Rattus norvegicus: one gene and its partner. The protein of the gene in region 2 binds, or shares a complex with, the protein of the main gene of each other region. Links are inferred from orthologs where the notes say so. Each region holds a gene or a part of one and is shown on either strand. Other genes may lie near its edges.

Evidence for each region.
Region 1: the proteins of Lin52 (region 2) and Mybl2 are in contact, whole or in part, in a crystal structure (PDB 6C48), measured with the Homo sapiens proteins. The link is inferred for Rattus norvegicus from reciprocal best matches to the Homo sapiens genes LIN52 and MYBL2. Residues at the interface, in NP_001019845.2 of Homo sapiens: Gln84, Ala87, Tyr88, Gly91, Leu92, Glu94, Ser95, Met98, Thr99, Lys102, Phe103, Leu107, Glu108, Lys109; in NP_002457.1 of Homo sapiens: Trp663, Val666, Ala667, Gly669, Thr671, Asp673, Gln674, Phe676, Lys680, Ala681, Gln683, Leu684.

The regions. Positions count from the first base shown.
Region 1 is NC_086021.1:172,148,696-172,151,304, forward strand, and holds part of Mybl2 (myb-related protein B), read left to right. Parts: intron 1-686; coding exon 687-791; intron 792-2,332; coding exon 2,333-2,482; intron 2,483-2,609. UniProt on the Homo sapiens protein: Transcription factor involved in the regulation of cell survival, proliferation, and differentiation. Transactivates the expression of the CLU gene.
Region 2 is NC_086024.1:109,828,856-109,833,081, reverse strand, and holds the start of Lin52 (protein lin-52 homolog), read right to left. Parts: upstream 2,834-4,226; 5' UTR 2,827-2,833; coding exon of another isoform or gene 2,815-2,826; coding exon 2,796-2,814; intron 1-2,795. Other genes in the region: Aldh6a1 (methylmalonate-semialdehyde/malonate-semialdehyde dehydrogenase [acylating], mitochondrial precursor), read left to right, coding at 3,401-3,451.

The DNA of each region.
Region 1 (2,609 bases), on a different chromosome or scaffold from region 2:
GGAGGACCCATAAGTGCCTTACGTGACTGCTCCTTCCAGAGAGGGCCCTGGCTTCTCACCTGGGTCCTTCCGTACTGTGAATGATGCAGCCTTTCTTCCAGCGTTGTGACTGGGCGTCCTGACATGAGCTTGGTTGTCTGTGGTGGGTGCAGTAGTGGTTAGGTGAGACTCTCGGTGCTCAGTGGACAGAGAATGGCATACAGCACACTTTATTTCATGGCTGGCTGAATCCATGTGGGAGGAAAGGCAGTAGACAGGACAGATCCCAAGGGTTCCTTTCAGGAGCGAGGGCCTCCCTCGGCCATGAAAATAGCACAGGGTGTCATTGAGTGAGGTGTGATTCACAGGCTGCTGGGTGGTGGGGGAGGCCCCAGACTCAGGGTGAGCTTCTTTCCTTACACTGTCTCTAGCCACAGGTGGCACTTGAACTCTCTCCTTGTTTCTTTACCTCTTTTTTCTAGACTGCTCTAAGGATAGACAGTGAGGCTGGGGAGATCCCCAGTGTCTGGCAGGGTAAAGTTCATCTGGGTCAGGATCTAGTGTGGCCAAGGGCTCCTGGTCTTCCCCTATCCCTGGAGCAAGAGCTGCTAGCTAGGCCTTGAAAGTTCCACTCTTAATTCACTGAGGCGCTGGCCATGGGGACCTGATGGCTGACGCTGACCGTCCGTTTTCTTCCTAACCCTCAGCTCCGGCGAAGCCCTATCAAGAAGGTTCGGAAGTCTCTGGCTCTTGACATTGTGGATGAGGATGGGAAGATGATGTCATCGACCTCGCCCAAGACTCTGTCCTTGGTAAGGGGCTGACAGCACCTGCTTCAGATCTTCAGGAACCTTCTGTCTTTGGAGCTGTCTGGTCATGGAGAGGACACTTTAGTTGGAGTGGGTTCTTGTTCTCCAGCTGGGCTCAGTGTTGGCACTAAGCCTGATTTCTTTCCTAGGTTTTATTTGGCAGTAGTTTTATTGATAGAATGCTATGGGCCCCCAGCACCACTCTTCTCACTAAGGGTCACCCATCTGTGCCCCCAAGCACAGCCTGCGGTTGAGGCATAACCCCAAGTGGCTACTGTCTGTCTGGTCTGTGGGCCAGCCTTGTTCTTCCAGGTACAGAGTCACTGCCGTTAAGAGTCCAGATGCTGTGGGGGACACTGGTCCCTTGCAGCTGATGGGAGGTGACCTGGCTTGACTGAACCGATGACGTGGCCGGACTGTGATATGGTTATGGGGAGGTTTTATGAGATAGAGAGCAGCCCTGAGAGGCATCTGGAGTCCAGAGCAGAGAAAGCAGACTGAGCATGGACAGCAGACTAGACATGGCCAGGGCCTCTAGCTCTGTGAGTGTGGGGAGAATGGCAGCTGAAGAGAACAGAGAAACCATGGTGAGGGTATCAGGGCTCTAAGGAGGAGAAGCTGCTAGGAGGGAGCTGGAGGAGTTTAGGGGAGGGGGAGATAAGGACTGGGTGGGCTTTGGAATGTGTGACAGGTACTTGAGATGCTGAGGGAGCCTGGAGGCCATCATAGACTGATAGGTACGGTGCCTATCTGTCCCTTCTGCCAGAGGGACGGAAAAAGACTCCTTTTGGTAGAGTGGAACCGGCTTCACAAGTTCCTAAGGAATGCCGGGCTCTTACCTAACTGCCAGGAATCCTTCTGTAGACCAGGTTGAGCTGTCTTGGAGTTTGGGGGATTGGAGTTTCTTTTGGACCTGGCACCAATAGAGAAGCTGTGAGGAGGGGGTGGGGAACATTATCAAAGGACATGAACTGCTAAAGAGATCTTACAAGTAAGGCTGTGTCCCGTGTCCTTCTAGAAAAGCTTTTGTCCCGGGAAGCCTCAGACATTTTTGGCTACCTCTACTCGAAGTTTTTTTTTTTAAAGCAGTACTGGGGGTTGAGCCCAGGGCCTCACCCTCTCACTCTGGGTGTGAGCTCTGCTGTGGAGATGGGTGTGGGAAGTAATTAGCCTGTGCCCCAGCCCCAAGTGGGACATTAGGAAGGGAGCACTGAGCAGAGCAGGGAGCGCCTTCTGGGTCCATGTCCTCCCCCACTTGATGCTTACGGGATTTCTAGACCAGGAAGCCTGATCCTCCGGCATAGGAGCTGGCATCGCTGGGCTCTGAAATGAACAGTTCAGATACTCCCTTAATCCTTTAAGCAAGAAGATTAAGGGAGCTCATCTAAACTTCCATGTCGGAAAGGGAACTGAGGCTTAGAGAGGTACATCCTGCTCCGGATGGCGGCAGCCCGGGGTGGTGTCAGGGTGTGTTGGTTTGTTGTGTTTTCCTCTCCTTGCAAAGATCTCCGACAAAGTGGTGACTATCTCGGTTTTGATTCCAGCCAACCAGTGTCCCATCCAGCTCCTCTGGCTTCATCTTGCCGGGTATCAAGGAGGATAACAGCCTGCTCAACCAGGGCTTCCTACAGGCCAAACCCGAGAAGGTGGTGGCCACCCAGAAGCCCCGGAGCCACATTCCAGCCCCTGCTCCTGTGAGTGCAGTAGATAGGTCCTTCTGCCCATCCTTTCACCCCCAGGGCCTGCTTTCTGCTGAGTTCCCGGCTGCTTGGCTGATTGACTTAAACAGTTACCATAGCGCAGATGCAACTTCCTACAGGA
Region 2 (4,226 bases):
CCCAACCCTCTCCATCTCAAGAAATTGCAATGTCACAAACCTCAGTTCTTTGAATTGTTTACTTTTCGTTAGTTTAGATTTGTGTAGGGTCTAGCATTCCATAAATTCTGCATCCACTGGCATTTACACAATGGCTGCCACCATTTCTACAGGCCCCACTTACTTCTCCCCAGATTACTCTGCTTGTTTAGTTTTGCCTCTGGGAGTCACTGTGTGAACTTTTTATACACATAAGCACATCTCCTGCCTTAGTCGAATTTAGTATCATCTCAGATAAAACCACCCTGGATTTGAAGAAGAGCTATATGCTCTCTTTGATTCTAGAGACCTCACACATCTAGCAAAACTGGCCTTGCACCACATCCTTCCAGACCCTACCTTTTAGAAGTCTTGTTCTCAGTAGACCTCCACAGACACCAAGATGAACCTCAATTTAAAAAAAACAAAACAAAACAAAACAAAAAAAACCGACAAAAATCCTACCAACACTTTTTTTTTTGCTAGTAAGAAAAGGATGTTTTAGGGGGAAAAAAAAAATCACACATGCTAGAGAATCTCTTTTATTATGAACACAGTTCCTTAAGGTATGTGAATGTGTTCAAAACTTAAAATGCAGTTAAACCTGAAACTTCGAAATCAAGTAAGAGGCCAGGCATAGTGGTACATTTTTTTTTCTTTTTTTTCTTTTTTTCAGAGCTGGGGACCGAACCCAGGGCCTTGCGCTTGCTAGGCAAGTGCCCTACCGAGTGGTACACTTTTAATCCCAGCATACTGGAAGCACAGGTAGGAAAGCAAGAAGATGGTGAGTCTGAAGCCAATCTGGGCCATACAGTCAGACCCTATCTCAAAAAAGGAAAGAAGGAAGAAAGGAGGGAGATCTGGTAACATTATTTTTAATATAATCTAGTCATGCTTTTTAGTACTAAAGACTGAACCTATTGCCTTGTTCATGATAAGCAAGCTCTCTACCACTGAACTACATCCCTACTTTTTATTTTTCATTTTTAGATTTATTTATGTGTATGACTGTTTGTCTGCACAGTATATATGTGGAGCACATGCATACCTGATGTCCATGGAGGTCAGAGTCACAGTTGTGAGTTGCCATGTAGATACTGGGAATAGAATCCAGGTCTTGGGGCTAGAGAGATATAGCTCAGTGGTTTAGAGCACTGGCTGCTCTTCCAGAGGTCCTGAGTTCAATTCCCAGCAACTACATGGTGGCTCACAACCATCTGTAATGGGAGCCCTCTTCTGGTGTGTCTGAGGACAGCTACGGTGTATAAAGTACTCATATACATTAGATAAATAAACCTTAAAAAAAAAAAAAAGAATCCAGGTCTTTTGCAAAAGCACCAGGTACTCTTAACCACTGAGAGCTATCTCTCCAGCCCCCTGTATCCTCACATTTTTAAAAAGATTTATTACCTATACACTGTTCTGCCTGCATGTACCCCCGCACACCAGAAGAGGGCACCAGATTTCATTACAGATGGTTGGGAGCCACCATGTGGTTACTGGAAATTGAACTCAGGACCTCTGAAAGAGCAGTCAGTGCTCTTAACCGCTGAGCCATCTCTCCAGCCACTCTTCCCTTACTTTTTAAAAGAAAACTTTTTATTTGAAGGTGGGTGGTGGTGGTTTGTGCCTTTAACTCTAGCATTTGGGAGGCAGAGATAGGAGGAGCTCTGAGTTCGAGGCCAGCTTTGTATAAAGAGCAAGTGCCAGGACTACACAGAGAAACCTTGTCTAGGGTTAAAAAATAAAATAAAACAAAACCCAACAACTGCCAACTAAACCCCAACTTTGTATTTGAGACACATTTTGCCTACAATTCATTCTGCAGCCTAGACAAGCCTGAAGCAACAATCCTCCTGCCTCAATCTACCAAGTAGCTAAAATTAGGGGTCACATACCAAGGCCAGTTTCACTTTTGGATGAACGTTAACTTATTTATGGCCAAATGCTTTACAGGCATTATTCTAGAACCTAGGATTAAACGTATGAAATAAGACAGACTTGGAATTTATAATTGGGTGTGGCCCGGGCAAAGTTAATAGACAAGGAATATACTGAGATACTGAGTAATGACAGAAGAGAATTCCAAATGCTAAAGCAGAACCGCGAGCAAAAGCATACGGGTATAACGAAAACACCTATTTACCACCTGAGACGAAATACAAGCAGAATTGTTCCTGCCCTCAGTCTAAGGAAACAACACATGAAGTAGAGGGAGTGATGGTTTAAGGGTTGAGAAGCGTGCGAAACTACATTAACAAGGCTAATTTTCATTCCCTCGGGAATCAGGGTAAGGAAACCAGGTCCCCGGTTCCCTGCTGCCAAGGCAACGGTCCTGAACTGAGGGGACAAGCATCCTTCTCTCCCGGCTTGGTACAGGGATGAACCCTAGACCTCATGTCAGTCACCACTCAAAGCTATAGAGCTTGAGAGACTCGTCTCAGCTCTACTGAGAACAGAACCAACACTCCAATGGGCCTGTTCAAAAAGAAAGTTCCCTCCCTTTCCCCTCAGCATCACCGATGGGCCGGAGCGACCTCTGTCCTTTTCCCGGATAGGGTCTCACCGGTTGGTGGCCTCCTTCACCTACCTAGTACACAGCGGGGAGACCTGGTACCAGGCACCTGCTAGCTGAAAAGCCGACACAGCCCAAAGAAGAGAAGTGGGAGAGAAGGAAGAGGGGCCCAAGAAAAAAAGCGTAAGCGTGAAGGCTGTGGAAGTTCCCAGAGGAGCAAATAATGAGACTACAGGCCAACAATTTCCAAGCCGGCTCTTACCGTCTGTGGGAGACGCCATCTTCCAGCCCATGTCACGTGACGTGGCCAACCGTCGGCGGGAAAGCGAGGATCCGCAAGCCACGCCCCTTACAGGGGTAACCTATCCTTAACTCACAGCCCGGTCTCGTTTCCCTATCTCATAGGGTAATATTTGCCTAGTCCCACCCTAGACAGCAGCCCTACCCGCGAGTGGTAGTTAAGGTGAAACTCAGGCAAAATTCTTCAAGGACTTTATTTACTTTCCTTAGCAAAGGGGCGGGACCTTGAGGGCCTACCTATAGCCAATCGGAGTTCTCGGTTAGGGGGCGTCTTCCCCGTGTGCTTAATATGCAGTACCAAGTCTAGGGGGCGTCTCCCTATCTCCGCCAACAAAAATAGGCTGAAGTCAGAGAAGAGGAAAACGCTTCCGCCTTTGACCAATCACCTATCCCCAAGGCTGGGAGTGATGGGTGGAGTCAAGAATCCTGACACATGATTGGTTATGAAAAGTGCCCCTTCCCTCCAATGGAGAGGCTAGGTTGTGTTCGGGGCGTAGCTTAGCGCTGTAGCTTCTAGGGAGGCACTGGCAGCGGAGGCGCGGGGAGCTGGGCAGAGTCTGGTGAGCCATGGCGGCGGCAGTGGCGGCAGCAGCAGCAGTGCGGTCCCGGATCCTGCAGGCGAGTGAGGGTGGCGACGAGGGACCATGACGTTAGAAATGGGTCCTTTCCGCCCGGTCTCTAAACCATGCTTCTGCTGGACAGATTTCTTGGCCCAGACCCTTCTTTGCAGACCCTTGTGTTCCACCAGACCCGTGTGTTTGAGCTGTCACTCCGTATTGCCTGGCCCGGGAATCCAGCCCCGGACGGTCACGCCTGGCCCACCCCACTTTTACTCCTGATCCTTTCCTTTTCTAGCTCTGACCCACCCACCTTCAGTCCAGCTCAGTCTTTGCTATCACCCGCGGGCTTGCTTTCTCTCATTGGTTCCTCCCACGGACTCCCTTTCACCTCTGTGCCAGCCACCTCTGGGCCCCAGAAACTCCTTTTGGTTACTGTTTATAGAATACTTTCCTTTGCCAGGAGCGTCCCTTCCCCCATCCAGCCTCTATGTGAGGTAAGAGGGGGTAGGAACATGGAACAAGGGTCAGAGAAGAAACTTTGAATCTCTAGACATGTACCCTGGCTTTTCACATCAAAGGCAGCCATTTGCTAGCGTTTACCAACTATTCTGGCCCTTAGTGTTTTTTTCCCAAGCTCTGGGCCAAGTTAAACTTTCTCAGCGAAGTTAAACTTTCGAGATAAATAAGGGCGTTATTGTTTTGCTAACGCTACTAAACATTCCCCAAACAGGTGGTAGAAGATGAGACCCTAGGAAGACACGTTCCCAGAGTCAGTTCTCAAGTGCCAACACACCCTCCACTCTTCTAGGCTACGATTTTAACCGCACAGAAAG